2 linked regions of the Macaca fascicularis genome follow. The protein of the gene in region 1 interacts with the protein of each later gene in a biochemical or structural test. Links are inferred from orthologs where the notes say so. Each region holds a gene or a part of one and is shown on either strand. Other genes may lie near its edges.

What was found.
Region 2: the proteins of ATF7IP (region 1) and methyl-CpG-binding domain protein 1 form a complex in vitro, tested with the Homo sapiens proteins (2 studies listed by BioGRID). The link is inferred for Macaca fascicularis from reciprocal best matches to the Homo sapiens genes ATF7IP and MBD1.

What each region holds. Positions count from the first base shown.
Region 1 is NC_088385.1:17,277,958-17,294,239, forward strand, and holds the end of ATF7IP (activating transcription factor 7-interacting protein 1), read left to right. Parts: intron 1-5,989; coding exon 5,990-6,102; intron 6,103-7,422; coding exon 7,423-7,842; 3' UTR 7,843-12,703; downstream 12,704-16,282. Other genes in the region: PLBD1 (phospholipase B-like 1), read right to left, coding at 13,521-13,703, 16,115-16,221. UniProt on the Homo sapiens protein: Recruiter that couples transcriptional factors to general transcription apparatus and thereby modulates transcription regulation and chromatin formation. Can both act as an activator or a repressor depending on the context.
Region 2 is NC_088392.1:39,459,051-39,475,332, forward strand, and holds the start of methyl-CpG-binding domain protein 1, read left to right. Parts: upstream 1-3,428; 5' UTR 3,429-3,549; intron 3,550-4,900; 5' UTR 4,901-4,925; coding exon 4,926-5,035; intron 5,036-7,989; coding exon 7,990-8,104; intron 8,105-8,195; coding exon 8,196-8,362; intron 8,363-8,449; coding exon 8,450-8,532; intron 8,533-8,778; coding exon 8,779-8,819; intron 8,820-9,180; coding exon 9,181-9,327; intron 9,328-9,430; coding exon 9,431-9,559; intron 9,560-9,714; coding exon 9,715-9,789; intron 9,790-9,913; coding exon 9,914-10,030; intron 10,031-10,113; coding exon 10,114-10,182; intron 10,183-10,827; coding exon 10,828-10,995; intron 10,996-11,317; coding exon 11,318-11,617; intron 11,618-11,710; coding exon 11,711-11,848; intron 11,849-12,225; coding exon 12,226-12,357; intron 12,358-12,442; coding exon 12,443-12,504; intron 12,505-13,646; coding exon of another isoform or gene 13,647-13,686; exon of another isoform or gene 13,687-15,365; coding exon 15,366-15,555; 3' UTR 15,556-16,282. Other genes in the region: CXXC1 (CXXC-type zinc finger protein 1), read left to right, coding at 83-202, 360-544, 818-1,025, 1,104-1,214, 1,354-1,403, 1,545-1,641, 1,901-2,053, 2,168-2,314. UniProt on the Homo sapiens protein: Transcriptional repressor that binds CpG islands in promoters where the DNA is methylated at position 5 of cytosine within CpG dinucleotides. Binding is abolished by the presence of 7-mG that is produced by DNA damage by methylmethanesulfonate (MMS).

The sequences.
Region 1 (16,282 bases):
CATGAGCCTATTGGGTGATGACAAGGGTGGCTGCGGATAGAGGCTGAGTGGTGTCCACAGAACGGATCATCCTATCGACTTGATTATTAATCTCCTCTGCTGAGGTCACCCGTTGGTGAGCAGTCACAGGGGATACAAATATCTTCACAGTTTCTGACCACTTAAAAAGGTCCATGCACATATTTCTTCCCCAAATTTCTTTGTTCACCAATTTTGTAATCATGCTTCTTCCAAGTCCCTGATCATCCAGCCAAACCATTGGCTACAGCCCATGAATCTATGTAATGACACATCTAACCATTTCTCCTTCTAAGCAAATCATACAACCTGGTGCCCTGCTCAAGATTCTGCCCACTGAGAAGATGTTCTTTCACTGCTGTTCTTCAGGGATGTCCTAGAAAGGGGCTGTAGTGCTGCTTCTGTGCACTTTGCAGTGGTGCCTGCATATGGTGCAGAACCATCTGTGAACCAGGCCTTAGTCATCTGTTCCACTGTCAGGTGATCATAGGGACTCCCCATGAGGCCATCTGTGCAGGCTAGGGAAGAGAATGCAGGGTGGCAGGAGTGGAGATATGGGCATTTGAGCCACTTCCACTTGTAAATTACTTGTGCCTTCAGCACCTGCTGGAACCCAACCACATATATACCACTTCCATTTGATGCATGACCCACTTTATGGCTAAATAGGTCAGAAAGCACCCAGTTCATGATAGTCAGCTCAGGTCACATGGTGACTTGATGACCCACAGTCAAATGTTCAGTTTCCACCAAAGCCCAGTTAACAGACCAAGAGCTGTCTCTCAAAAGGGAGTAGTTACCTGCAAAAGATGGCAGTGCCTTGTTCCAAAATCCTAGAGGCCTCCACTGTGATTCACCTATGGGGTCCTGCCAAAGGCTCTAAAAGCATCCCTCTCTGCCCCTCACACCTCAGGCACCATTGAATCTGCTGAGTCATATGGCCCATGTGGCAGAACAGCTTGCCCAGTAGCCTGAACCTGTTGCAGAGCCTTTTCCTGTTCTAGATTGCACTCAGAACTGGCAGCCTTTCAGTACACTCGATAAATGGACTGGAGTAACATACCCAAATGAGGAATGTGTTGCCTCCAAAATCCAAATAGGTCCACTAGACGTTGTGCTTGTTTCTTGGTTGTAGGAAGGGCCAATTGCAGCAACTAGTCTTTGCCTTCACTGGAATGTGTTGACAGGCCCCACATCACTGGACCCCTAGAAATTTTACTGAGGTAGAAGGTCCCCAGATTTAGTCGGATTTATTTCCCATCCTCTGGCACACAAATGTCTCACCAATGAGTTCAGTATTTTTGCTGCTACTTGCTCACTTGATCCAATCAGAATAATGTCATCAATATAATGGACCAGTGTGATATCTTGCAGCAGCAAAAACTGATCAAGGTCTCTCTGAATAAGATTATGACACAAAGCTGGAGAGTTGATATACCCCTGAGGTAAGACAGTGAAGGTATATTGTCGTCTTTGCCCACTGAAGGCAAATTGCTTCTGGTGGTTCTTGTGGACAGGAATGGAGAAAAAGGATTTGCCAAGTCAATGGCTGCACTCCAGGTACTAGGAGATGTGCCAATTTTATCAAGGAATGAAACCGCATCTGATACAGCAGCTGCAATTAGAGTTACCACTTGATTAAGCTTATGATAATCCACTGCCATTCTTCAAGATCCATCTGTCTTCTGCATAGGCCAAATGGGAGAATTGAATGGGGACGTGGTGGCAAGCACCACTTCTGCATCTTTCAAGTCCTTGATGGTGGCACTGATCTCCTCAGTACCTCCAGGGATGGATAGTTTTTGATTTACTATTTTTTAGGGGCAGCTCTAATGGCTTCCAACTGACCTTTCCCACCATAGTTGCCCTCACCCTACCAGTCAAGGAGCCAATGTAGTGGTTCTGCCAGCTACTAAGTATGTTGATGCCGATTATGCATTTTGGCACTGGCGAAATGACCACAGGATGAATCCAGGGACCACTGGAACCACTGTAAGTGAGACCTGAGATAAAACTCCATTAATTATCTGACCTCCATAAGCCCCTACTTTAACTGGAGGACCACAATGATGCTTTGGGTCCCCTGGAATCAATGCTCAGAACCAGTGTCCAGTAGTGCCTGAAATGTCTGATCATTTGCCTCTCCCTAGTGCACAGTTACCCTGGTAAAAGGCCAGAGATCTCCTTGGGGAAGGGTGGGAGAAAGATTCACTGCATAAATTGTTGGGAATGTAGTGGGGGTCATTCCTCAAGGGCATCAGGCCTCCCCTTCATTCAAGGGGTTCTTGATCTGTAAACTGGCTCAAGTCTAGAAATTCACTGAGGGGTCGTCATTCTGTTTTTATTATTCAATTTAGTCTTTTGTCCATTTGACCTAGAAGCTTTCTGGTTGTATAAATTAAGTAGGAATGCAGTAGGCTTCCTATCAGTTTCACCTCTAGGAACACTGTGATTAATTAGCCAATGCCAGAGCTCTATCCAAGTCAGACTCTTCTGATTGCCACTTTGCCTCTGCTGTCCATTATGGTAGCTATACCCACCTTGTCTTTGACAGTTGAGTGCCGCCACTTGGCCCCTGCCACCTGGGGATCCAATTATTTCCATTATGTTTAAATTTTGTAGTTGAGTGACTGCGGTTCCCACTGTTAGATCTGACATACAGAGTCGAGCAATTAGAGGGCTCTTCAAAGATACAGGTGCTGCCCTCACAAATCTATTTCTCAAGGCATTGGTCAAGGGTATATCTTCTGGACCCTCCCAGCTGGGATGACTAGCTCTAAAGTGACTGATTCACCCTACCATCCCAATCTCCTTGGTCTTTGGATCCCTTCCTGTACATTAACCAAGAGAGATCAGTCATTTCCAGCTCACTCACCGTATGCCATCTTTTAATCCTTATTTCAACCAAGCAAATAACCTATTAGAACCTTTTCTTAACTCCCTGAGCTGCAACCTTAAATGCAGAGTCCCTACTTAGTGGGCCCAAATCAAGAAATTCAGCCTGATCCAACTTTGTTCCTTCCACCATAATCTCATACCCTTAATATTCATCCCCATGCCTGTTCTCCAGATTTCTGTGTATATGAATTAGAGAACTCAAAACAGTTCTCTTTGAGTGTAGCGTACATCCTCATGGGTCACACTCCCAGCCTCACCTCTAGGGGCCCACCAGTACTTTAGTCTAGTTATAGGTCCAGAAACAAAGAGAGGTGTTTGGAGTGGCTCCTGAGAAGAATCAACATTGGCTTGCCTGACAAATGCCTCAGGGGAAGTCATCACTGTTGCCTCACATAGCACAGGCTTTATTTCCTCAAAGTTGGAAAGACTGATGGCAACATGGGTCAGGAAGTGGACGTTGCCACTACTGGGAATGGGGAAGCTGTTCTTTCTGGCAGAAAAGCTTCATCGGAGTTTACAGACTCAGTGTCCCCAGCTTCATCTGGGTCCTTCCACGCACCCCCATTCCAAGTTTCAGGGTCCCATTCTTTTCCAGTCAATGCCCTCACTTTAACAGTAGACACCTGGCAAGACTGTGCATGTATCTTTCATTGCAGGTCAGACACTCGCATGATAAGAGCTTATGTCTGTTTTTCCACAACTTCAGCTCTTTCTCTACAGGAGATAAGACTCTTATTCAGGGCAATCTTAGCAGTTTTGAGCCTCAGTATCTTCTTTTGAAGCTGAGAGACAGAATCCCTGAGTTCATCATTTTCTTTCATCACCTTGTCCACTGCACTTAGGAACCAGCTTCATTATGTTCCTTGGTTCTCCACATATGGTCCAAGGTATGTATAGAGTCACTAAACTCCTAGCTTCTCACAAGCTGTGAATCAGGAGTGTCAAATGCATTTATTTTGCATAACTCTGTAAACAGTTCACACCAGGGACTATCAGTGTTCTCTATACTATTAGAAATAGAGTTTTTAACATTTTTAGGTCTAATCACATTAAGCAGCCAACTCCAGAAACCCCAAAACCAATGAAAGAACTCCATCCTTAATATTCTGTTCCTCTGGACCCCACTCCTGGTACCAAAATCTGAATTAGGGTTCTCTAGAGGTACAGAGCTAATAGAATATATATATTTGTGTGTGTGTGTGTATATATGTATATATACACATATATGTATCCTATATACAATATTCATATATATAAACTAATAGGATGTATGTATTTTATATATTATGTATGTATTAAACTAATAGGGTATATACATAAAATATATACTACATATAAACTAATAGTATATATCTACTTTATATCCTACTACTTTATATATACAGTGTATCTTTTAATTATATATAAATATTAAATATATGTAAAATGCATACTTTATAGTAAATGTTTATATATATAAAGGGGACTTTATTAAGTATTAATTTACACAATCAGAAGGTCCCACACTACTGGGCATGGTAGCTCACGCCTGTAATCCCAGCACTATGGGAGGCTGAGGCAGGCAGATCACTTGAGGTCAGGAGTTTGAGATGAGGCTGGCCAACATCATGAAACCTCATCCCTGCCAAAAATACAAAAATGGCTGGGCATGGTGGCACAAGCCTGTAATCTCAGCTACTCGGAAGGCTGAGGCAGGAGAGCCCAGGAGGCGGAGGATTGCAATGAGCCGAGATCACGCCACTGCCCTCAAGCCTGGGCAACAGAGCCAGACTCTGTCTCAGAAAAAAAAAAAAAAAAAGAAAAAGCAAGATCCCACAATAGGTTGTCTGCAAGCTGAGGAGCAAGGAAAGCCAGTCCAAGTCCCAAAACTGAAGAACTTGGAGGCCAGTGTTCCAGGGCAGGAAGCATCCAGCACAGGAAAAAGATGTAGACTGGGAGGCTAAGGCTCAGCCAGTCTCTCCTTTTCACGTTTTTCTGCCTGCTTTATATTTTCTGGCAGCTGATTAGATTGCGCCCACCAAATGAAGGGTGGATCTGCCTTCCCCAGTTCACAGACTCTAATGTTAGTATCTTTTGGCAACATCCTCACAGACCCACCCAGGGTTAACACTTTGTGTCCTTCAATCAAGTTGACACTCAGTTTTAACCATCACACATATGTAGTAGTTTTGCAAAATGTGATAGCAAGGAAAAATATAGCTGTTTAAAGAAACAGTAATGCTGTCATTAGAAAATAAACTGATTGGAGTCTCTGGATCATAGTTTGGCTTCAACTCTCTCAAGTTTACAAGAGCATTATCTGGGAAAATTAGTCAACAAGTTTGGAAATGAGTTCTGGGAAACTTGGCTCACTATCGTCCAGGCACCAGGCCAAACTATGGCATGGGCCAGGTACTGAATAAATGGCAGGAGTATGGTCAGGGCAGTAGGTAGCTCTGAATTTTCTATTTTTGTTTCCTTGGTGTATGTCACAGCAGTTTTCTGTGGGGTGAAATGAGTATCCTGAACCAAGGAGCTAGGCATGGAGAAAATGAGAGGAACTTCATTAGTACATGGCAAGGATGACTTATTCTGGCTTTCTGTCCTGGTTGAAAAGATGAGACTGCAGAGCTTTTTATGAAGATACTCCCAATTTGTCTATCTTTTGAGTCACACTGCTCCATTATGGCCATTTACCTTTTACATGCGGTACACAACCAGTGTTCTAGGATTTTTGTTCATAGTTCTCCTGGTAAGGATCCTTTTATTTCTCCCTGTGCTGGACCTCCTGTTGCTTGTGTCTCATATTTTTCTCTTTATTTTCTCACATATTAGTGGCACATATTCTCCAGTGACTATTGAGAGAAGGTTTGTGGTAGTTAGAATTTTTTTTTAGTGCTTGCACATAAGAAAGTTTTTTTATCCACAGGCTGGTTGATAGCTTGGCTGAATACGAATAGGACCTCTAAGTTAGAAATATCTTTCCTTTCAAATCTTGAAAACATTGCTTCACTGACTTCAAATATTTAATGTTTTCCACCAAATTTACAATAGAATTATTTTATCTTGTAATTTTTTTTTTTTTTTTTTGTAGGTGTTACAGTTCGAGTGCCTCAAACAACCACGTATGTTGTAAACAATGGACTAACCCTGGGATCCACAGGACCTCAGCTCACAGTGCATCACCGACCACCACAAGTGCATACTGTAAGTGTTGATGCTTGGTTTTGTAAAATTCTCAACTGTAAAGGTATAAAATATTATTGTAGTTGGCATTTTTCTTTAAAGTGGTTATATCCAAGGGAATTGTTAGGTCTTTCTGCTTTTTCAGAAGTTTATTTCTAAAAATTGATCTTAAACCATTATGAACAAATGTTCATAGGGATGATGATCATTTAGAATCATTGAGTTTGCTTGTGGTGTACAGTATACAAAAACAGGTCCACAGTTGGGGTATATGAAGTGAAATACAGACCATTTCTAATTCATAGTTAAATTAAAAAGGACGTTTTTCCATGTGTTAATTTTATTCTTTTGTTTTAAACTATGCCACGTCTAACTGCTACATTGTCATCAATTGTTTTAAAGAATCCAATGATATTGGGAATTCATTAGTTAAGAGGCAGCAGAGATAACCAAAGATTTCTCCTTAGATTTAGCCTCCAAAACAATGTCACATTATCCTGTGACACAATTTTGTCAGTGTTTGACTGGTATGAAATATCATCATAATGACGATGATGTTCCAGTGTTAGAAAAGTCAATAGGACTCCTAAAGTTAGAGTCACGTTTTTTTCATCATCTGGCCTTAACCTACCTTTCCAGATTTTTCTTCATGTACCCTATATCCAAGAAAAAGTTAATACTTGTTGTCCATACGTCCCCTCACTTTCCTGTCCACATGCCTTTGCTCATGCTTTATTTTTGGCTAAAAGGTACATGATTATTTCTGCATCTCTAGATCCTATCTTTCACAGTTCAGTTTAAATATCACCTTTTTTTTGTAAATTGGCCAAGAATATAGTACACATTCAGTGTTAATACGCTTATTTATAAGAATATGCTGTTGTCTTATATTGCAAAATAACTTAAAAATGAAAGTATAGTTGTATTCTCCAATTTTATATGATCTTGATTGCCATACATGATATTTTAAAATGTTATACTGAAGTGATAATCTGTAACATAGATAATTCAATCATAAATTATTTTGTTAGAAGTAGATCATTATTTCCGTGTTCCTCAAAATGATGTTCCATCAGCAGGGGCTTTTTATTTCCTAAGAAAAACTCAAAATATTTTAGGTCTAGGAAATAGAGCAGGAATAACCTCAGCATCATTGTTTGTGGCATCATTCATTACAAAACCCCAAATAGAACTTGCCAAATTTGATATGGTGTTTGGTATTTCCTAGAATTCTTGATGTAAAATGGTATCTCTATGTATGTTCTCTAAGGTGTTTTAATCCTAACATTCTAAAATGTTCTTTTTGCGATCATTATAAATCAGTGTGACTTGTTTTTTTAGGAGCCGCCACGCCCTGTGCACCCAGCACCCTTACCAGAAGCTCCACAACCACAGCGTGTGCCCCCAGAAGCTGCCAGCACATCTCTGCCTCAGAAGCCACACTTGAAGTTAGCACGAGTTCAGAGTCAAAATGGCATAGTACTGTCATGGAGTGTCCTGGAGGTGGATCGAAGCTGTGCCACTGTTGATAGCTACCATCTCTATGCTTACCATGAGGAACCTAGTGCCACCGTGCCCTCACAATGGAAAAAGATAGGGGAAGTCAAGGCACTTCCCTTGCCCATGGCATGTACTCTCACCCAGTTTGTATCTGGTAGCAAATACTACTTTGCAGTACGAGCCAAGGATATTTATGGACGTTTTGGGCCTTTCTGTGATCCTCAGTCAACAGATGTGATCTCTTCCACCCAGAGCAGTTAAACCTTGGAGCCTTTATATTTTCCTCTTTTAAAATTTCCACCTTTTGGTCTTGTTTTTAATCTTGTGCATGATACCCCATGTAAAATCCACCTTGTGCAAGATTTCTTGGACAGATGTGTGTATACACTACATTTGTTTATAAACAGAAGCAAAATAAACTCAGCCCACAAAGCTAGAATCTTTTCCTGGACAGTTTAGGCTTTGGGGTTTGGAAATGTAAATGTGTACCTTGCTTTAGTTTTGAGGCTGGGGAATATGTGTGGGTGTTTATGTGTGTTTTTCCCTATGTATGTGTTACTGCATTGGAGTCTCCCATTTTTATTCTCAAATTTACCTCTTAAAGTACGAAGTAGTAGATCAAAGGATCTGAGATGTGTAACTGGCATGACTCTGCTTTTAAAGGATCTGTAGGATCATTTTAGTTAAATGGTTTAAACAGAATCAAAACAAAACCCAAAGAAATGAATTAAAAACAAAATGGCTAAATAGTTTAAAATAGGTTGATTTGAACACAGGAAAGGATCTATTTGTTGTTTCTTTTGTCTGGTCTCCTAAGTTGTTAATTAGGTTAAAAAAGATCTGCAATGGCCCCCTCCCTTTCCTGATCTGGCTTTTACATTTATTTTGTGCCTTAAAGATTAACTACAAAAATAAACATGGCCAAAAATAAATAAATAAACATGGCCATATGTCCATGGTTGCTTACTCTTCCCTTGCAGCCTTTTTACCCTTGATTTCTTGCACACCTCCTCAAGTAATTTTTTTTTTTTTTTTTTTTTTTTTAGATGGAGTTTCGCTCTTGTTGCCCAGGCTGGAGTGCAGTGGCACAGTCTCAGCTCACTGCAACCTCCGCCTCCTCGGTTCAAGCAATTCTCCTGTCTCAGCCCGAGAGTAGCTGGGATTACAGGTGCCCGTCACCATGCCCGGCTAATTTTTGTATTTATAGTAGAGATGGGGTTTCACCATGTTGGCCAGGCTGGTCTCAAACTCCTGACCTTAGGTGATCCACCTGCCTCGGCCTCCCAAAGTGCTGGGATTACTGTTGTGAGCCACCGTGCCCAGCCTACTCAAGTGATTTTTAAACCAAGGTGTGTGTGTGTACATGGAGGTATTTGTACACACACGCACACATGCGCATGCACAGTCTCATCTTAGCCGGGCATGGTGATGGCATCACATTTAACTCCAAAAATTTGACGTGCTATTTTCTTCTAAAACTGTAGATGCTTTTATTTTTGGTCACTATTTAACTTTGTGTAAAGTGGACCAAGCGAAAACCATATTGTGGAAGAAAATTTTTCACATGTTTTAGTATCCGTGTTGCACACTGTGTTAGAGATTATGAAAATGATTCTAGTTCAGTTTATCACCCAAAGCTATCACCCAATACTAATTCCTTAGTATTCTTTCAAATGAAGCAAATAGAAAGATTCACAATATAGAATGAGCTAAAATATCAAGGAGAAAGTTTCATTTCCTCTTTATTCTCACAGCGTCCTTCCTGTTTTAACCTTTTAACTTTGTTTTGATGGTGCCAAGTTGAGTCTGATGTACCCATTGTTAGCTTTGGATAGAATTTAAAGTATATCCCAAAATTAGCCGGGCATGTTGGTGCATGCCTGTAACCCCAGCTGCTCAGGAGGCAAGGAGAATCGCTTGAACCCGGGAGGCGGAGGTTGCAATGAGCTGAGATTGCACCGTTGCACTTCAGCCTGGGAGACAAGAGCGAAACTCTGTCTCAAAAAAAAAGAATTTAAAGTATATTCTTTGAGGTCATTTTATGTAACAATTAGATATAACCTCCTGTGTATCTCTCTGTTCCTCTTCAAAGTTATTAAAATTCAGCTTAGGTCATGGATTTTTAATATGAGGGGCAGCTGTACTGGTTTCAGGTAGGTGTTTTGAGTGTAGATAGTTTAGGACTGGAGGGCTGGGTTAAGTTTTAGGAGTGAGAATGTACTTGAGAATATTTTGAAAGGAATTTATGAAGTTTGTGAAATAACTTACAAGTCCTCTTCCTTTGCAATATTTGAATTCCATTTTTCTACCTTCTCAAAATAGTCATTCATTTTTCCTAGAATTGCAGGAGGGAGCTCTCTCTTTTATTAATGTTGTTTGTTTGCAACTTTGATGGCTTATAACAGGAAGTTTTCTAGTTGTAAAGAAAACTCTTTAGAGACTTTTGACTGGTCAGTATACTATCATCTGAGGTGTAAGATTTGATTCATGATGAAGAAAGCCTATAGATTGCCAAAAAATTAATGCTCCAAATCTCCTTTCACTCTCAGAAAATGAGACCACAAAGGAGTATGCTATAAATCAAATTTGCCAACCAACTATGTAGATATTACTCATTCTAGGACTAATGATGATGGTAAAGAAGTTGCCATTGTTATGGCAACGAAAATTTTAAAAGGAAGGAGTCGGTGATCTTCTAGATGTATATGAACACCTGTCTATATCTGCATGTGTATGTTTTGACCTGCAGTGGTTGCAGTGTTGATTATGTGTTCAAGATTATTCCTGTCTACAAAATTGAAGGCCCTTGTTCAAATTGTTCTTTATTGGGTGTTTTTATGGTCACGTGGTTACAATTTTCTTACATAACCTACAAAAGGTTCTCTTGATGAACATTTTTATTTATATTTACTAATTTTTTTAAAAAAGCTTTCATAGCATTATTTAATCAAATGAAGAAAGCCCAGTAGAATTTAAAAAAAAAAATCATTATCCTAGCCTATATTATGGTTTCTGTCAAAGGAAAACAAATTCTCAAATAGCAGTTCTAAAAATAGATTTACCAAAGTAAAATAATTACTTAAAATGTTTTATTCCAGTTGGAAGGAAGGTACAGGGAGAGATCGCAATTATTTAGGGGAGAAGTATATTTATTATAAGATAGTATACTCAAATTAGCCTACCATGGCATGTAGGGGCAGCAGCTATATTAGATTTACTAGAGGTGCTAGGTTAGAACACTAGGTTTTTATTGAGGCAGGTTTTAATATTGATAGATGCTTTTTGTTTGGTTTGCTGCTTCTGGGAGAGAGAATGGAGGACTTAAGTAGTAAGTAGCTACTGATAACAGACTTTCTAGTAGCAGTTTCCACTCCGCGGTTAACTTTTTAGTTTCATAGTATCTTTTCACAAAGTATTACAAATAAGCTAGATTCTCCCATTTTGGGAATGCAAGTTTTACTACATTTTTAGCCTGGCAATATTTGTGTAGGTATTGCCTTATTGGAAATTCTGGAAACCTGATACTGCAACCTGCAATGTAGGATGTTTGTATGGCATTTAAAGATAACGGTGATGTTTATTATTCTATACTTTGCATTCTGTGAGAGTAATTTTCACTGTCTTAAATGTGAGTAAGCCTCTTGTTCTTGTCAAGAAATTTATAAATCACATACAAAGACATCTGTTGTTAACAGTTAATTTTATGAGGTAACTATATCCTTCTATTTCTCTGGATTCATTTTTTAAAAATATGCAGAATACTGCATACTGTTTAAGATAGTATATACATTTATGAGAGAAGTGGAGAGCTTTCTTCCTTGAAAAGTCGGTATTTGTGGAGATATCATTTGCCTCACAGAGAGATGTTCCCCACTCCCATCCCCATTGCCAGATAATAAATACTTTGAAAAAGTGACCTAAAACAGCTTAAATCTTAGGTGCATCTATCTGCAGACCTCCTTAAGTAGGCTGCGTCTTACAGTTCTCTTACTGCATTGGGTAAGTGTTAACTTTGTTGTTTGTTCTTTTGCTTTAAATATTCTCCAAATTACCATTTATGCAACAAGGTCAGGGTTAATACTGCATGGTATTCATTTATCTTGTTTCATGAACTTTCCAGTACTGTACAAGGTTAACAAAGTAATGCCTGTGGTATCCTCATCTCTCACTTTTTTACACTGTGATCTTAGCACAGTAAGGTACTGCAAAGACCTTCCTTCCAAATGTTCTCCCTGACTTTGCTTCTTGGGCCAATTCAGTATCCTCAACATCCTATGATTTTGTTGTTTTATCACTGACCTGTGGTTGGCCTGTTTTATCCTAATTTCCAGAAAAATCAAGTCCTAGTATTTGCAATATCAAATAACTGTCTAAAACCAATGTGTGATTCTACCTTCCTTATTATTTTTACTGGGCAAATGCCCTATTTTTTTTTTTTTTTTTTTAACTTTTGGGACACACAAATCAGCAATTCTCATGAAGCGTTTGTTGGAGTGGCAGACTTGTCTAATTCCTGAAACTCATTCATCCCCTTGAGCCAGCCAATGGGGAGGAATAGGATAATGCAAACACATGTTTTGTTTTCTCATTTTCAAATAATTTACCATGTTAAAATAAACTTTTCTTTGTTTTTTATTTGTAGAGTCAGCTAAGTACCCATATTTAAATGCTGTCTTTATCATTTTTTTGAGGTTTTTGTTTTTGTCTGTTTCTTTGTTTTGTTTTTGTAAATAAGGTAACTGGGCAATCAAACACCTTTTGGGGATTCTGGCTTTAGTATTTTATCAGCCATTTCAAAATTAAATATAAAAATCCTTTGTAAGTAACTTGCATCCTAATTTTTCTTTATTGCAGTTGAAAGTGTAAATAATAAGACAATATAAGTAAGACCTTCCTAATGTCTAATACAAACTGGGCTGTAGCAAGTGGCCCTATTTTTATTAGGGTTTTGAAGGTTTGTGTGTGTGTGTGTGTGTGTGTGTGTGTGTGCGCGCGCGCGTGTGTTTTTCTTTTTTAAATGTATAGTAGAGTGGTGTCTGTATAAGTGTTAACTGTAGTGGGGTTTTGTCCAGCAAGCCTGAAATTTATACTTTGAAATAAAACTACTGGGTTTTTAACATTCTGAGTACTCTGTTTAATTCTGGTTATTCACCCTTGTGGCTTTTTTCTTTCTTTTTTAAGAATCTTCCGCCTTGTTTAAAGTCACCCATTACATACTATGTGGTGTGGCTTATTTAACCTACTTCGCAATTCCATGGCACTCAGATCACATGTAACTCTCCAACTTTGAAAGAAAGTTGCTATGCAGGGTTGCTGCCAGCTTGTATAGGTGCTTTTGGCTTATAGGAGGCAACAGTAAGGTTTACTATATTGTATGCCTAACCTACACCACAAAAGGACTCAACTGATGCCTGTTAATGACCTGAAAAATCACTACAATCACTAACTACTACTAGAGGTTCCTTTGAAAACGAAGCTCCAGCGTCCCCTAGGGTTTTGTCATTAGGCATATTCATCCAGGGAAACAGGAAAGAGCATAGGAGGAGTACAGATTCTTATGGGCCGGGCATTTGTCTCAGGTTCCAGTGGCTAGAATTGTCATGTGGCACAACTATCTGAGGGACACTGGGAGATGTGGTCTGTGTGAGCAGGCATGAAAGGAGAATATGAATTCTGCTGAATGAAGGAGCAGTTTCTGCCATACCCTCTTGTGTATTAGCATGTATACTGAAGCTTAGTGTTATTTATATATATAACATTTCTTCTACAGTGCTCTACCTTATAGCAAGTGCTTGCTGTAAAAACAACAAAGTCAGTGGAAAACGAAAGTGACAAATGAATTTAATATATTTTATTGCATAATTCTGATGGGAAAAACATAGCTAAAATAGTGCCTTTGGTTTCTTATTTACAGCCTTCTAGTCTGTCATCTCCCTCCTTCATTTCATGTCACGTTTCAAAATTGGTTTCATGGTAATAAAATCAAAGTTGTAGACCTCTGGCATGCCCTGATGTAGAGTTTTGTTGAAACGGTTCCAGTGAAAAACAGGGAGGCCACCTTGTACTGTGGGGCCACTTATGGCATAGGATGTGTACTGAGATGCTAGGTAGATATCTGCCACCTGGAAAGAGAGAGGAGGAGGACATTTTAGAAAAATCATTTGGCAAAAAATTAAACCCATGACCTTTCCCACTCCCCCAACTACCAAAGTCATAATATGAGCTTTTTTTTTTTTTGAGACGGAGTTTCGCTCTTGTTGCCCAGGCAGGAGTGCAGTGGCACAATGTCGGCTCACTGCAACCTCTGCCTCCCAGGTTCAGCAGAGATGGGGTTTTGCCTTGTTGGTCAAGCTGGTCTCGAACTCCTGATCTCAGGTGATCCACCTGCCTCAGCCTCCCAAAGTGCTGGGATTACAGGCATGAGCCACTGCGCCAGGCTGCCTTCTTTAAAACAAAATTTTCTTGCCATTTTTCACACTGTCTTTGTATGATGTAGTCTTCTGTATACATTTGGCATCAAATGTCAATCAACTAGAAGTGTGTGAAATGAACAATGTAGCCAAAAGCAAGCTATGAAGTCAGATTACTCATTCAGAATTCTAGCTCCAAAGCTCATTTAAAGATCACTTAACCCCTCTATGAGTCAGTGTTCTCCTTTGTAAAAAGGGCTGATAACCCTACTTCATAGAGTTGGCATGAGGATTAATGCAAGCAATGCTCAAAGCAATGCCTAGAATAGATGAAGTCCTCAGAAAAAGTTGTTATTAATCAGGGTGGTAACGAGTCTTTTTTTTTTTTTTTTTTTTTTTGAGACGTTGTCTTGCTCTGTCGCCCAGGCTGGAGTGCAGTGGCCGCATCTCAGCTCACTGCAAGCTCCGCCTCCCGGGTCTATGCCATTCTCCTGCCTCAGCCTCCCGAGTAGCTGGGACTACAGGCGCCCGCCACCTCACCCGGCTAGTTTTTTGTATTTTTTAGTAGAGATGGGGTTTCACCGTATTTAGCCAGGCTGGTCTCGATCTCCTGACCTTGTGATCCGCCCGTCTCGGCCTCCCAAAGTGCTGGGATTACAGGCTTGAGCCACCGCGCCCGGCCTAACGAGTCTTAAAGTAGATGGAGCTCACTGTCAAAAATTGAGGGCCATGGTTCTCAAAAACACCTAACCACTGACTAGCAGTGGATCCTAATCTTAGAGGGGAAAGAGAATCTCTTCTGATTTTCCCCATAAAGAGAGAAATTATATTTTTAAAGAATATCCTTCAACAGAAACTTTTTGATAAAAACAATTGTAGGCCTCTGTCTCCAGAAGTGAGATTTGGTAGAGGGAAGCTTGGCTTGAGTTCTCCCAGGCAAGGCAGCACAGGTGATTTTCTTGGTGTATTCTGTGATAGATACAAACTTCACACATTTGACTGAATGTTTGCAAATACCATTTTAAAAAAGGAACACAAAAACATTCATAAGGGTTTCATCTGTGCCAGCTTCTCTACATCTACCTTTTTTTTTTTTTTAAATGTTAACATTGAGAATCATTACGGTTAAAAGCTTTGCCTTCATCACATAGCTAAAAAGAAGGTTGAGCTGGAACTCAAGATACTTTAAAGCATTTCCTGTTTAGGTATTAGGCTGATAGAGAATAATGTATAACTGGGGTCAGCATTCCTATAATTTTTGGAGCCAAAACCGAATACAGAGTTTACCCTGACGGGTTTCTTCCAGAATTTAGGACAGGTGGTGAAATGAAAAGACACACCCAAGCCAAGACTGCAAAAGGATGTAGTAGCATAATCTGCCAACCAAATGCCTCATACCCTCAGACATCCCAAATCCAGTGGTGAGCAGGTAAATTTTTAACAACCATCTTTCTGAGGAAAAAAGTTCCTGATTTCCATAATGTAAATACTTTCACTTGACTGGTTTCAAACTATCAACATGATGTCAACTAACAATTGGTTCCTGCCTGTCTATGAGCTGGCTTTAGCACACCACTGCAAACCTACTTATTACTTATATTTTGAGACACATTACAGCATTTATCAATTCTAACGTTGTGAAAAACCTGTGCTTTAGGCATCTTGTCCAAACTTGCTCCTTCGGCTAAATTCGATTCATGTTTAACATGGAATCACACTGCTTGAATAATATGTTCTTTGGACTTTGGGCCAGTCTGGTAAAACTTAAGACAACAATATCGTCATTATGGCTGTACACATTTACAAATAACTCAACACTGTTCTAAACATTTTACAGAGATGAAAGGCTTATTCTTCAGAACACCGTATGAGGTAAGTACTGTTATATCCGTTTTACAGATGAAGAAACAGAGACATGATGGAATTATGTGATTTACTACTAAATGGCAGAGCAGCGACTTGAAGTTAGATAATAGGACCTACCACCAGAATCTCTGAAAGAGCTGATTCCTGGGTTGAGTTTATGGTTAGAGCCATTACTGTGCTTCCTGCCTGTGCAACTTTGCCTTTGGAGAGGCCTGTGTACTGGTGGGAATTACATTCAAAAGCCAATAGCATGTTACCTTCGTGTCATAACAACCTCCGGGACTTGGGTTAGGTGAGTTCAGGTCCTCACGGCAGCAGATGGTATTACAGGGGTCACCCTTACTGTAAGGATCCTTCTTATAATCTAGGAAACAGAGAGAGATGGGGAAGAGAGTGAGTATTGGCTATTCGGAGACACTTCTCCA
Region 2 (16,282 bases), on another chromosome or scaffold:
ATGGAAGGCTGATATGGGACATGAGTAGGTGGTGGGGTTGTCATGAGCGGGGCAGGTGGGTCAGTGCATGCCCTGCTTGCAGCCCTGGATGAGCGACACAGAAGAGTCCCCATTCCTGGACCCTGCGCTGCGGAAGAGGGCAGTGAAAGTGAAGCATGTGAAGCGTCGGGAGAAGAAGTCTGAGAAGAAGGTGATGGAGAGGGTAAAATGGATGTGGAAAGGCAGAGGGTGGGGTTGAGGGAGAGGCAGAGGTCAGAGGCTGAATGGGGCAAGAGCCAGAAAGGGCTAGAATGGAGCAGGAGTCTGGGGTTTGGGGCTGACTTTGACTCCACCCTGACCTGACCTGTCTTGCTTAACAGAAGGAGGAGCGATACAAGCGGCATCGGCAGAAGCAGAAGCACAAGGATAAATGGAAACACCCAGAGAGGGCTGATGCCAAGGACCCTGCGTCGCTGCCCCAGTGCCTGGGGCCCGGCTGTGTGCGCCCCGCCCAGCCCAGCTCCAAGTATTGCTCAGATGACTGTGGCATGAAGCTGGCAGCCAAGTGAGTCATTCCTGAGGGGTTCAAGGGAGTCAGGAAGTACATGGTAGGGCCTGACCACCGCCTTCTGTATGTCTACCAGTCAATCAGCTGTCCACCATTCAGTCACCAAACAGCCACTACCCACTCACCCATCCACCTATCCGCCCCGTGTCCATCCAGCCACCATTCCACCAGTCACCTGTTTATTTCTCCTTTTGCCATTTAGTCATGCATCTGTTTTCCCACCCTCACTGATCATCTCACTCATTCTGTTGCTTGCTACCTTCCCTGCAGCCGCATCTATGAGATCCTCCCCCAGCGCATCCAGCAGTGGCAGCAGAGCCCTTGCATTGCTGAAGAGCACGGCAAGAAGCTGCTGGAACGCATTCGCCGAGAGCAGCAGAGTGCCCGCACTCGCCTTCAGGAAATGGAACGCCGATTCCATGAGCTTGAGGCCATCATTCTGCGTGCCAAGCAGCAGGCTGTGCGCGAGGATGAGGAGGTGAGCAAGCAGGGGCGCAGCGGGGCAGGGCCGGTACTTTGTCCTTCCTAGCCTTATTGTTCCTTCCACCCCATGCAGAGCAACGAGGGTGACAGTGATGACACAGACCTGCAGATCTTCTGTGTTTCCTGTGGGCACCCCATCAACCCACGTGTTGCCTTGCGCCACATGGAGCGCTGCTATGCCAAGGTTGGGGGTCAGACTGAGGGGGCAGACCATGTGGGAACATCGGTGGGCCAGTGGGGGACAGATTTGTTGTCTGGGTGGTGTCCTGGGAGGGCATGCAGCGCACATCCACAGTTCCCTCCATTTGTGCTCATCCCTCCAGTATGAGAGCCAGACATCCTTTGGGTCCATGTACCCCACACGCATTGAAGGGTAAGTGAGGGTGCCACGCGAAGTGAGAGGTGGGGGGTTAAGGCGGAGGTCAGAAGTGGGATGTGTGTGGAACTGGGGCAGGATACGGGCAAGGACAGGTGGACCTCCCTTTACTACCCTCTCTTTATTCCAAACCCCCAGGGCCACACGACTCTTCTGTGATGTGTATAATCCTCAGAGCAAAACATACTGTAAGCGGCTCCAGGTGCTGTGCCCCGAGCACTCACGGGACCCCAAAGTAAGGTTTTCCCTCAGCTCCTCCCATTTTGCCCCTCCTCCCTGCCTCACTGTCCCACATTCATCCCTGCCTCCCTCACCTCACCTTTCCTTCACTTTTTCCTCTCACCTTCCCTGCTGCTTCACCCTCCATTCCTCCCTTTTCCATGCCTCCTCACCGTTCCCTGAACCCTCCATTCCTTCCCTTCTCCCTCCTTGAGCCCCCATTCTTACTCTCCCTTATCACCATTATTCATCCCTCCAACCCGGCCTCCCTGCAGGTGCCAGCTGACGAGGTATGCGGGTGCCCCCTTGTACGTGATGTCTTTGAGCTCACGGGTGACTTCTGCCGCCTGCCCAAACGCCAGTGCAATCGCCATTACTGCTGGGAGAAGCTGCGGCGTGCGGAAGTGGACTTGGAGCGCGTGCGTGTGGTAGGTTTCGCTGTGGTTTCATGGTGCATGTGGTAGGTTTCCATGCCGGACGTGGCCGAGGGCAGGCGGGGCTTCAGTTGTTCCTGCTTAGGACTCCTGCCGCTCTCTTGGCAGTGGTACAAGCTGGACGAGCTGTTTGAGCAGGAGCGCAATGTGCGCACAGCCATGACAAACCGCGCGGGATTGCTGGCCTTGATGCTGCACCAGACAATCCAGCACGATCCCCTCACTACCGACCTGCGCTCCAGTGCCGACCGCTGAGCCTTCTGGCCCGGACCCCTCACACCCTGCATTCCAGATGGGGGAGCTGCCCGGTGCCCATGTGTCCGTTCCTCCACTCATCTGTTTCTCTGGTTCTCCCTGTGCCCATCCACCGGTTGACCGCCCGTCTGCCTTTATCAGAGGGTCTGTCCCCGTCGACATGTTCAGTGCCTGGTGGGGCTGCGGAGTCCACTCATCCTTGCCTCCTCTCCCTGGGTTTTGTTAATAAAATTTTGAAGAAACCAAGGAAGCTGTGTCCACATTGCTGCGGTTGCAACTGTTCCAGACTCCTGGATAAGATGGGGGGCGCCTGCACCCCGGGAGGGCCCAGGGACCCACATTCCCAGCCTCCCACAGGCAGAGGGTCTACGCAGCACGTATTCAGTGTGGTGACACCGCCCACGCGTGCTCCTGTCTCCCACCCAGAGCTGTCCTCCACTGTGGACGCCAGGCCCCGCCTTTTCCCAACAAGCCCCACGTTGGGGATTCGCCTCCTGCAGGGGCGCGCCCTCCCGCGTGCCTCAGTTTACCTGCGGTGCGTCACCGCCCCTTTCCCCGCCCCGCGCGCTCCAGCACCTGTTCGGCGGGGAGGAGGGAGCGGGACACGACCGCCCTGGGGTTGATGTTCGGAGGGACCGGCGAGCACAGGATAGACCCCAGCGAGAGATGGGAGAAGAGAGCGCCGGCTGGGTCAGGGAGTGCGCAGGCGCGAAGCAGCTTCCTCGCCGCTGTGGGTATCCGCCTCGGAGACCGCGGGAGGGAAGGGAGGGCGCAGGCGCAAGCCCTCCCCGACGACTTCCCTTCAGTTTGAGACTGGAGAGCGCATGCGCAAGCTAGATGGTCAGCGAGCACAGCCCCGACTGCAGGTCCCTCCTTCGATGGGGCACGAGCTGTCGTTGAACGTCAGCACGCAGATGCAACTGGTTTTCGGCCGGGGGGCGCGCGCCCCGCTGCAGAGCGCCAGCCCGCAGGCGCGGGAGCCTCCCTATTAAGGGCACGCGACGTCGAGGCAATAGCGCGCAGGTGCTTAGCCAGAGGCGGAGCCCGAGAGGAAGGCAGCGGACTTCCGGTTCCGGGAGCAACGAACAGCCGCGGAGGCGACAGCTACCGCTTCAGAGGAGGCGGCCGCGGAGGAGGAAGAAGGGGAGGAGGGCGAGGCGGGAGGCGCAGGAGGGACCCTAGCCATGGGTCCACGGGCCTAGAGTGGCGGAAGATACCAGCCTGGTGCCAAACTGGTGAGACAGCCTTGGGGCTGGACGTGGAGAGTGCTCAGGCGGAGGATAGGAAGGAATTGTGGCTGAGAACGCTGACGGGGAGGAATCAAGGGCCCTCAGGCCGATGAGGGGGAGGAATGGCGGCGTCGGAATACTGACGAGGAGAAACAGGGGAATTTAGGCTGAGGACAGGAAGGAATGGAGCTCAGAACTCTGACAGGTAGGAGTGTCGGGATCCTGGGACGAGGACGGAGAGGAATGGTGGAGATCAGAACGCTAAAGGGAGACATCAGGGCATCTGAAGTTGAGAGAGAAATGGGGGTTCAGAACTCCGAGCGGGAGAAATGAGGGGCCCTCAGGCTGATGACAGGAGAAATGGAGGCGTTGGAATGCTGAAAGGGAGGAATGGGAGGCCCCATATAGAGGACGAGGAGCAGTAGGGGATCAGAACGCTGACAGTTAGGGATGGCATGATCCCAGGACAAGAACAGAGAATGGGGGAGGGTTCGGAATGCTGAGGGGAGAAATTAGGGTCTCTCAGGATAAGGGAGGAATGGAGAATGAGAACAGTGAGAGGGAGAAGTGGGGAACTTTTTGGATGTAGAGGAGAGAAACAGGAAGGTTTGGGGGCTGAGACTGGGGAGAAATTGTGGGCCAGAACATTGAAGGAGAAGAAAAGTAAGGGGGGAGCTCTTGGCTGAGGAAGGGGAGGCATGGGAGGCTTCCAGTGTGTGAGAAATGGAAAAGATGAGGGGCTGTTCGGGTCATGGGTTGGAGCAGTTGTGTCTCGCAGAGGAAGTCGAGGTTGTAACACTGAGGTAGCAAGATAAGAGGACATCAGGCAGAGACGGAATGGAATGGTTAAAACACTGAAGGAAGGAAATTAGGAACTCCTGGGTCGGGGAAGGGGGGAATGAGAGACTACTGAAGCCAAGTAGTGAGGGCAAGAGAAATGGGGCCCTTTGGGGCTGAGGATGGGAAGTATGGGGGTCTTGTGGTGATAAAATAGAGGGATAGAGGCCCTTAGGTCAGTGACAGGGAGGAATGAGGGGGGAAGATGAAAAGTTTCTGAATTGGCAGTGAGGAGAAATGATGGGCTGTCAGTCTGAGGATAGAGAGGAGTAGGGGATTAGGACACTAAGAATAATAAACAGGGATCCTTGGGTTGAGGAATGAGGATCTCCTAGGCCCAGAATAGGAAAGAATGGGGTGAGAATATGAGGGGTTTCTTCTCCATATATGGGCTGGTTGCCTGCGGCAGGTCCTAGGTCTTGGGCAAGCACTAATGGATACCAGTGATTTGTGTGGCCTGGGGCACATTTTGTCCCTTCCTAGAGCCTCAGTTTCCCTCATCCCCTCAACCCCCTTTCAGGCTACTGCTGCTTTCTGTGGCCTCCATGGCTGAGGACTGGCTGGACTGCCCGGCCCTGGGCCCTGGCTGGAAGCGCCGTGAAGTCTTTCGCAAGTCAGGGGCCACCTGTGGACGCTCAGACACCTATTACCAGAGGTACTGGGTGGGTTGTGGGCAGAGTGGGGGTGGGGTAGAGCCTCATTAGGGTAAAATCAAATAGTGCGGTTAAATTTATGGATGGAGTTTAAATTATGCACAAACAGTTAATCGTTATTAGCGGATTTTGTGTTTGCAATTTCACCTACTTAATACAGTATTTGTAACTTAAAAGTCACTACTCACAGTGCATTTGTGATTATTGAAGGACATGCACAGAGCAGTGAAAAACTGTCACTCAATGCATGTGTTTCTAGCTGAGACTGAAGGAGCCCTTTTTATTTCAGCTTTAATACCGTAAACAAGTGACCTTTTCGTGGTCTGTTTAGTGTCACATTTTTCTAATTTTTGTATGTTTTGTTGGTGATTTTGCTTTTTAAAATAGTCCTCAAGCGTAGTGCTGAGGTGCTGTTTAGTGTTCTGAGTGTGAGAAGGCCATGTCGTGCCTTACGGAGAAAATACAAGGCAGATAAACCTTGTTGGTTATCTGAGTTACAATGCTGTTGGCTGTAAGTTCAATGTTATGCATCAGAATTATGGTACAACCAGAAAAAGAAGGAAATTTGCCAATATGTGCACAAGGCTGCTTCAGAAAATACAGAAAGCATTTATAGTCTTGAAGCTATGGAAGAGATGAGAAAGCAGCTACGTTGGTGGATTCATGAAATGACGATCAATAAAGCATAGTGGACAGCATTGTTGAGGAAAGCCAAAGTCACGTTACCCTGGGTTAGGAAAATATTAAGGTTGTATCAGCTAGTGCTGGCTGACTTGCACATTTCAAAAGGCAACATGGCATGAAAAATGTTAAACTTGCATGCAATGCAGGTTCTCCCGATCAGGAGTCTTCCGAAGAGTTTTAAAAATACCTTTTAAGTGTTTTATAGGAAAGGGGTTGTGTAGAAGAGTGGTTTTCAATGCCAATGGGATTGGCTTGTTAAACAAAAATATTGGCAAACAAACCTACAGAACACATATGGCCTCCAAAGCCCCTGGTTTGAGTCATTCAAAGACCATGCAAATAATCATTTGTAAAAAATATATATTAAGTAATGTGTATTTAAACAGAAACACGCACAAAACAGAAATTCAGATGCTCTCAGGAACCTAACCCTGTATTTCCTCTAGGAGCAATGGTTTTGTATTCAATGTTCATGGCAACTTTGTAGAACATATCTACCATAACTAATGAGAATCAGCATAGATGTTTATAAGCATTTACATGTGTTTAGGCTACATTAATTATTATGTTTCTATATTCGTTCTGATTTTTTAAATCTAAGTTGCAGTTTTCCAGGTAAATATCAAATTACAAATTACTTTTTGTTTGTATTTAGTTATAATTTATTCACATATTTATGTACTCGTATAAAACTTTCAAAACTTAAAAGTGCAGTTGTCAGGAACTACAAAGGATCTGAGATTTCATTCTTAGGACAAGATAATAGTGAATTTGTCAGAATTTTGTAGATGTTGGTAGGAGAGGTAAGACTCCTGGGTTACAGGTCAAAGACAGTTTATTATAACAGTTGCAGGATCCAGAATAAGTCTCCCCCTTATCTGCAATTTCATTTTCCACAGCTTTAGTTACCTACAGTCAACCACCATCCAAAAATATTAAATGGAAAATTTTAGAAATAAACAATTCATTAGTTTTGAATTGTGTGCCGTTTTGAGTGGCGTGATGAAATCTCACACCATCCTGCTCAGTCCTGCTCAGGAGGTGAATCATCTCTTTGTCCATATCCATATCCATATCCATATCCATGTTCTATACATAACCTGCCTGTTAGTCGCTTAGTAACCATCTCAGTTATCAGGTAGAAAAAAACACAGTACATATTACATTAGGGTTTGGTACTATCCACGGTTTCAGGCATCCACTGGGGAACTTGGGATGTATACCCTGACGAGAGGGGGAATTACTGTATTACTATTTTTGTGCCAGTTTCCTGAATCCCAATTCCTACAGCATGACATGAAGAGGGTTGTATTATTATAGGAAAAGAACCCTGAGCTTAGAGAATCAAGTTTTTTTAATAACGTTAGGACACTAAGTATGCTTTCTTTTTACTATGGAAGGAGACCCTATCTCTTATCTTCCAAGGTTGTTTGCTTTACAAACATCCTTGGAAAGATAGTGTATCAAAAAGAATAATCGGTGTCTCTCTTGCAGGGCGTACAGAAATGCAAGAAACCGGGGGTCCCAAAATCAATTACTTATACTTTAATTTGTGTGTAGTTGTATTTGTTTGTGTGTTTTTAAAACATATTTGTGTTGTTTTCTTTGCTTGATTATATACTGGGTACATAATGCTAACTTATTTATTTATTTATTTATATTTTGAGACAGAGTCTCGCTCTGTCGCCCAGGCTGGAGTACAGTGGTGCAATCTCGGCTCACTGCAAACTCCGCCTCCCGGGTTCAAGCCATTCTCCTGCCTCAGCCTCCCGAGTAGCTGGGACTACAGGCACTCGCCGCCATGCGTGGCTAATTTTTTTTTGTATTTTTAGTAGAGATGGGGTTTCACCATGTTAGCCAGGATGTTCTTGATCTCCTGACCTCGTGATCCGCCCGCCTTGGCCTCCCAAGGTGCTGGGATTACAAGTGTGAGCCATCGCACCTGGCCAGTGCTAACATATTTATATGTTATTTAATATATTTGTGTTTCTATTTGTGTCTATTTTTACTTACGTGAAATAGTTGCAGTATTACTAGTATTATATGTCATAAATATATGTCTGTTTACATTTGTATTGTTTCTGATGTTTGTATTTGTGTTGGTATTTATATTAATTTTTTATGTTTTCAAGGTTAGTTGAGGTGGGGCTGGGCAGGGCTCACAGGCCAATTCCAGGCTGCCTCCTGTATCCTGCCAGCCCTGTCGGAAGGTTGTGTGGGTGAAATGACATTGGCTCCACCTGGGTGCTAACCCATCATGGCCCATCCCTAGCCCCACAGGAGACAGGATCCGAAGCAAAGTTGAGCTGACTCGATACCTGGGCCCTGCGTGTGATCTCACCCTCTTCGACTTCAAACAAGGCATCTTGTGCTATCCAGCCCCCAAGGTACTTCACAATGTGAGATGCCTAGGTAGGGGTGGCTGTGCCACTCAGCACCCACCCACTGACCCATATGCCTCCTTCCCTTACTTTCCAGGCCCATCCTGTGGCTGTTGCCAGCAAGAAGCGAAAGAAGCCTTCAAAGCCAGCCAAGACTCGGAAACGTCAGGTTGGACCCCAGAGTGGTGAGGTCAGGAAGGAGGCCCCAAGGGACGAGACCAAGGCTGACACTGACACAGCCCCAGCTTCATTCCCTGCTCCTGGGTGAGTGTTGGTTTGAGGTGAGCCAGATGGGTGAGGGTTGTGATTGGGGGTGCTCTTGGAGCCCCTCACCTGCCTTTCCCATCCCAGATGCTGTGAGAACTGTGGAATCAGCTTCTCAGGGGATGGCACCCAAAGGCAGCGGCTCAAAACATTGTGCAAAGACTGTCGAGGTGAGTGACCCCCAGAGGATGGGGCATCGGGAGATAGGAGCTGGAGCAGGTTCAGTGTCATGCTAGGCTGGGGGTTGAATGTAGATGTCAGGACAGAGGCTACTGGCATGGTTGGAGGTTGGATACTGGAGATAGCAGGCATGGGTAGAGGTTGAATAGTGGAAGTCAGGGCACAGGCAGTGAGTGAATCAGTCAGATGTCTGTTGCTTTCTTTCCACTTTTCTTCTTCTCTCTTCCTCCCCACAGCACAGAGAATTGCCTTCAACCGAGAACAGAGAATGTTTAAGGTAAGCACAACCTGCTTTCTCTTCACACCTCTGCAGTGGGAGCAGGATGTGATTGAGCTGGTAGAGTCCTAAGGGATGATGATAGGTCCACAGGATGAAGTCATTTTATAGGGTGCTCTCCATAGGTCAGCAAACACAGTAATGAGAATCAATGGGTTAATTAATTCCCGTTACCATTAGTGCGTCAGTAGACACAGTGATGAAGTTAGCAAGGGACCAGTAGACATACTAATGGCCTCAGTGATGAGGCTTATGGGCGACTAGAAGTCCCGGTGATGGGAGCTGATGTAGGGTCAGTAGACATGGGAGGACCAGTGCTTCTGGAGCAGGCCCGTGATCTCGTCCCTACCATTCCTGGCAGCGTGTGGGCTGTGGGGAGTGTGCAGCCTGCCAGGTAACAGAAGACTGTGGGGCCTGCTCCACGTGCCTCCTGCAGCTGCCCCATGATGTGGCATCGGGGCTGTTCTGCAAGTGTGAACGGAGACGCTGCCTCCGGATTGTGGAAAGGGTGAGTTGGGCAAGTGGAAAGAGCCCAAGGCTCACCTCGGCCCCTGGCCCTCGTGGGCTTGGCCCCATGCTTCATGCCTCTGCTCCCACATCCCCTCCAACAGAGCCGAGGGTGTGGAGTATGCCGGGGCTGTCAGACCCAAGAGGACTGTGGCCGTTGTCCCATCTGCCTTCGCCCTCCCCGCCCTGGTCTCAGGCGCCAGTGGAAATGTGTCCAGCGACGTTGCCTACGGGTGAGTCGGGCTGGAGGGAGCAGAGCTCACTCTGCTGTTAAAATCGTGGCTGCCTCTGCTTCCTTTCAACCTGGCCTTGCCTACCTTATGTCTTTCTTTTCTGCCTAACCCCACGCTCACCTTTCTGGCCCCGTCTGCCTGCCCCTGTCTGCCAGCACCTTGCTCACCGCCTGCGTCGCCGTCATCAGAGATGTCAGCGACGCACTCCCCTGGCTGTGGCTCCCCCAACTGTGAGTGCCTCATGCCACCCTCTGTCTGCCTGTCCCATGCATGCTTTCTGCACTTAGGGAGTGGGGAGTTCCTGTGTCTGCCTGGTGCCACCAAGCTGAAACCACCCTTTCTGGTCTTTCCCAGGGTAAACATGCCCGCCGCAAGGGAGGCTGTGACTCCAAGATGGCTGCCAGGAGGCGCCCCGGAGCCCAGCCACTGCCTCCACCTTCCCCATCACAGTCCCCAGAGCCCACAGAGCCGGTGAGGCCCCAGTGGGTGGAGGGAAGGCACAACCCTGACCTTACCCAGTACCTGCCCTGACCCCACCCCATTTGCCTCTACAGCACCCCAGAGCCCTGGCCCCCTCGCCACCTGCCGAATTCATCTATTACTGTGTAGACGAGGACGAGCTAGTGAGTGGCCCTACCCTACCTGGATAAGCCTAGACTCTCAGGACGCTTGGTTAACTTCAAAGAAGCAGATGCTGGAATGAGCCTATTGGGGAACAGCAAGGCACAATAATGGGTCCTAGGATGGGATGAGTAGATAATGGAGGACTAATACAGGGTCAGCAGGTGCAATGACAGTGCCTCATGTCACATGTATCAACACTCTGGTGGCTGATGCAGGACTAATCGACACAGTGATGGGATTGACAGAGGAGCAGCTAGCACAATGACTGGGGTTCACACAGGATGAGCAGACAGAGTAGGCACAGTGATGGGAGCTAATAGAGAGTTATCAAAATGTTGCTGGAAATGGGGGTTAGAGACATTTTCTTGGTAGCCAGTGGTGGCCTAGGAAATACAGCACTGGATATTGTAGTGGAGCAGCCACAGTCCTAATGGTATCGAGGGCCAGCTGGCACAGCGATAGTGGCCAATGTTGAACTAGCAAGTGCTGAGGAGTGACTAGCTGGGAGTCAGGAGGCTGAGACTAGTATGCAAGTAGCTCCTTCTTATGGGGCTAGAGGAGCACCAGGACCAGCACTGGAATAGGCGTTGAGGATGGCCTCTCCTAGTCCTAGTTGACAGCACCACCCATTCCCCCCACCCCAGCAGCCCTACACGAACCGCCGGCAGAACCGCAAGTGCGGGGCCTGTGCAGCCTGCCTACGGCGGATGGACTGTGGCCGCTGCGACTTCTGCTGCGACAAGCCCAAATTCGGGGGCAGCAACCAGAAGCGCCAGAAGTGTCGTTGGCGCCAATGCCTGCAGTTTGCCATGGTGGGTGGGGCAGGAAGGGTCAGGTGGCCGGGATAGGTTGGGCCAGGCGCCCCAGTGCCTGGGAGTGGTGGGCAGGCTTGGTAGGTGGGTGGGTGGCGCAGTAGCTTTGGTTGAGGATTAACAGACATTGTGCTTGGCTTAATGAGTCTAGGTGGCATTGGTGTTGCTAATAGGAGACTAGCAGGCTCAATGACGAAGGGCTCATACGTAAGCAGATTCCATGCTGGGACCGATGGGAGATTAGCAGGCATGTGGAGCCGGGCAGGGTGGATGTGACTGGTCAGGACACCAGGTAGCCATAGCACCCTATCTTTCCTCATAGAAGCGGCTGCTGCCCAGTGTCTGGTCAGAGTCTGAGGATGGGGCAGGATCGCCCCCACCTTACCATCGTCGAAAGAGGCCCAGCTCTGCCCGACGTCACCATCTTGGGCCTACCTTGAAGCCCACCTTGGCTACACGCACAGCCCAACCAGACCATACCCAGGCTCCAACGAAGCAGGAAGCAGGTGGTGGCTTTGTGCTGCCTCCGCCTGGCACTGACCTTGTGTTTTTACGGGAGGGCGCAAGCAGTCCTGTGCAGGTGCCAGGCCCTGTTGCAGCTTCCACAGAAGCCCTGTTGCAGGTGAGGGCCCCACCCTGTCCTTCCCTTCCCAGCCCCACCCAGCCTCATGCCAGGGAGCTGAGACCAAGTCTGCTGCAATCCTCCCTCACGCAGGAGGCCCAGTGCTCTGGCCTGAGTTGGGTTGTGGCCTTACCCCAGGTGAAGCAAGAGAAGGCGGATACCCAGGACGAGTGGACACCAGGCACAGCTGTCCTGACTTCTCCCGTATTGGTGCCTGGCTGCCCTAGCAAGGTGGGGGCAGTGATGGATGTTCTGTTGATGCCGTAGCAGGCTGGTCTGTAAGCAGAGTGATGATGAGCCATGATGGTTCTCTTAAGCAGAGCAATAGATGTGCTGATTGCAACCTTTCTGCAGAATTACCCCGCCTGTCTAACAGACACCCTACCTCCCGCAGGCAATTAGCTTTGCCCGCTTTGCTGTCCAGCTAACAGAAAAACGGAGGTCAGTGAGGAATGGGAATGGGAAAGGTTTATAGGCAGAGATGGCCTTTCTGTGTTGAAATGTGATGGAAGGTAGGATTTGTCAGCACAGCGAGGGGTTGGCTGATAGAGACTTTCCTCGGGCTAACTCTGCCCTTCTAATGGCTGCCTGTTTCCTACTTCTCCCAGGCAGTAGACCCAGGCCTGCCATCTGTGAAGCAAGAGCCACCTGACCCTGAGGAGGACAAGGAGGAGAACAAGGATGACTCTGCCTCCAAATTGGCCCCAGAAGAAGAGGCAGGAGGGGCTGGCACACCCGTGGTCAGTGCTGGGGATGCCCCACCCTGCCCTGACCCTGCCATAGCCCCAACAACCACATTGACCTATGGTGTTAATTCTTCTCTAGATCACGGAGATTTTCAGCCTGGGTGGAACCCGCTTCAGAGATACAGCGGTCTGGTTGCCAAGGTGTGCCCCACACAGTGAGGGGTGGGGAAGGAGGGGGTGTTGGCCAGATGTGGGCCCTGAGTTTTGAAAGTATAGCCAGCAGTTTGGCATGGTGTGGTGGGAGGTAAAGGCCCATACCCACTATGCTGATCACAATTAATGAGGGGCATGTGTGTAGGACCATAGAGATTTCTCCGGAGATCCAGCCCAATAGCATTCCAGGTTAGGACTCTCCTTTGGGGGTAGGGGGAAGACTTGACACTCTATCATGAAATTTGAAAGAAAAAGATAGGGAGTCTGGTCCCTATTTTGCTAAGAAATATCTATAAGGGTCAGCTTTAATATATAAATTCTTGTTCAGAGAATAATCATTTGGAGTCTTGAAGGCCTTTGGAGTCTCCAGGAGACTTCTGGGTGGGCTGTTGCCTGACATTGAGCAATGTATATCAGAGAAATGGTGCTGGGCTTGCCTGGGCAGTGGGATGGGCAGGAGATCTGGGTTCCGAGCTGGCTTTGTGAGCCGGGTTCACACGTAGTTGCGTGATCTCTGGTTGCCCTGTACTTCCTGGAGCTGCCTCTGTGGAGGGGCTTGGGCTGGATCTCTTGAGCCTTTCCTGAGCCTATTGAGGTTATTAACTTCAGATGCCATGCAGAACTGTCCCTATAGTCCTGGCATAGGACAAAGGGTAGATGCCTGTAAGGACTAGAATGGTTGGGAGGGCAGGGGAACGCTGACTCCTATAGAATGTTGACAGACCCTGCATAGAGCCCCAGACACTGGCAATGTAAACTATTGGCCAAGCACGTGGATTCCTTTGCTCCTACAAACTAGCCCACCAGGCTGGAAACCCTTTCATCTATGCTTGGCCAATTACAGAAGTCTTGATTGAGTTCCTGCTGGGTGCACAGCATTGAGGACAATGAGCCCTGCAAAGCTTATATCCTGTGTCAGGAGACACAGGATACCTACCTTCAGGGAGCTTATTATCTGACTATGGACAAGCTGTCTATAATGGTAGTTTTTAGAAGATATAAAAAAAGATAAAGGTATAATTAAGGGGAAGTGGATGGAGGACACAGAATACTAGGAAATGGTTTTGTAATGCTCCATTTCGCATATAGCAAACCTCATTCAACATACAGACCTGCTCCCTCTTCCCTAGGTCCAAAGACCTTAAAAAACCTGGAGCTAGAAAGCAGTAGACTGGAGGCTTCTACAGACTGTAGGATTCAAGGTGATATTTGCAGACTGGCTTTATGAGAGACAACACTGATCTACTAGGGGCTGGACCCTAGATTGGTTGCCAGGGCTTGTGTGTGAATCAACCCTAGGAGGAAAAACCTACCACGAAACCAGAGGAGCAGGCCTAACAGTACTTTGAGCTTCTAGAAGAAGTAAGCGGGAAAGGAAGAGAAAGAGTAGAAAGTTGGTGCATCTTCTCCTCCCCAAGAGCCTGAGTATAAGAAGTTGGATTTTAAGGGTGGGGGAGCTGGGATGGGGAAAGGTAATATAATTAAAACCACCACAAAACAACCTAAACAAGCCATGTTCATGAATAATTGTAAGTGGCTTCTGGATGAGACCTGGCAGTGTCTCTACATACTTCCTCAGGGAGACAGCAATTGAAAATGTAATTGAATAAATAAGGAAAGGAACTGCTATTTGGTGTGTTCCTCTGTGGACCCAGTTTATTTAATCCTTAGAATAATCTTTTTGGGAAGACATTGATTTTGCCCATTTTTGTGAATGGGAAAACTGAGACTCATTAATTTGTCCAATGTCGAACAGCTGGTGTTAGTAGAGCCTAGAATGAAACCCAGCTTTTAAAGCCCTTGTTCTTTAAGCCACTAAACTGTAACCTGTAATCCTGTATGCACTAATAGGAGTTTTTGGTGACCTTCAAAACACAGATTACTATAAGTACTATAATAAATCCCTTACATTCCTGTCTCTAGCATGGTTTAGAAAGTGCCAAGACTCGATGTAGATGGGGTCACCTTGTCAGAACATCTGTTCATACAGAAACTGGGTTTCCTGCAGACCCCAGGTGCTGCATAGGATTCCTCAAACCCTACAGGATATATCTCCCCACTGGCTGCTGTCCATTTTGCTTGTTACCCTGACTCCCCCTCTTCAGCTAGAGCAGTCTTTGTAACTAAAGCTGCCAGCCTGGCTCATCTTTCCTGACAACGTGCATCTCCTGCCCTCTGATGACCTTTGTGCTTGGCTCCTGCCCTCAGCCCAAATGTCTTCTAGGAGGCTGAATTCCTGCTTCGAGTCCTGCCCAAGGGCCAGTCTTGGCTCAGCCCTACCTCACTCTTTCCAATTCTTCATTCATAAAGTGCCAAAAAGATTAGACCTGTAATTTGTTAGCCAGCTTTACAGGGCCAGGACTGAGTGAGTGCCTCCTTAAACTTTGTATCCTACGTGCCTCCCTTGCCTTACCCTAGTCCCAGCCCTGCAGCTTTAAGTAATTCAGACATGGATGAGCCATTTCCCAGTTCTATCATACAGTCCAGCCTCTGCCACCTTCGCCACCCCTTCCTTTATTCCACCCTAACTAGTTCAGCCCTAGTCAAGACTGGATAGACTGATACTGCTTTGTTTCCCCCAGGAACCAACCACCCAACCCCAGTATTCTGGTAATTTTGACAATGAACTATATGAAATTTATTTGATTGACATTTAGACTCATGAGTTAAGCTTCTGCCTACCATGTATGTTAGGGTACAATCAGAAGAGCAGAACCACTAAGATAAAGATTATGTATATATGTACTTTAAGGGATTTATTATAGAGATCTGACCGCATGCCATTGTGGGAGCTGGTTAAACAGTCTCTGTAAGGCTGTTATCTTTGCATCTAATGCTGGAGCTTGAAGTCTGCAGGGCAGGCACTCGGGAAGGGAAGATGGATGTAAACTGTGGGAGACCGAGGACACAGTGGAGCCCACGAGCACGAGCTGGAACCCACGAGGATGGCCTGGAACCCATGTCAGTCTCTCACCACCTCCAGCTTCGATGATGTGGGTGTCCTGCAGAAGAAGCTGGTGCCCTTCCTCACAGAGTTAAATATGCATCTGGCCCAGGAATTAGAGAAGCTGAAGAGATGATCCTGGGGAAGGTGGAGCAGCTGCAGGCCTGGCTGCTGCCCACACCAACGAGGTGATCCAGCAGATACATGACAATGTGTGAACTGCAACAGCGCCTGGTGCCCCAGCACCAGCCTTCCAAGTGTAAAAACAATATGCTGCTGCTTCACTTCTGCCCTCCAGTTATCAAGCAAAATGTCTCTTGTGGCCCATCTTACTGGAAGAGAGTTCTGGGAAACAGCCTCACCAAGGTGACACATTACAAAGCCGCCCTACCATGAATCCGCTCCCAAGGGTCTCACTACTCACCTGAGGATAACTCAATATAACCATGTTGCTGAAAATGCAAAGCTGAAGACCATGAATTTCATGGTGATTCCAGCAAGTGCAGAGATTCTATGAAGCCCACCCAGAAAAAACTTGCTGGTCCTGGCTATTTTTGTGTCATTCAAGTATTGAGAACCAGGCCTGTGGTAGGCACTGTACTTAATACTAGGATACAGAAATGCAAAAGATACGGCCCATGCAATTTTATTAAATGCATCAATATGTATTACAAATGGTGAATGGATTTCCAACTTTATCATGGAATTTAATGCTGAATATATAGAATTCAGAAAATTATTGGGAGGACAGCCCTTTTGTGAACCTTGTTTGGGGCACAGTAGGAATTGGAAATAATTTAGTTTCTATCTCTAAGCTGTTCT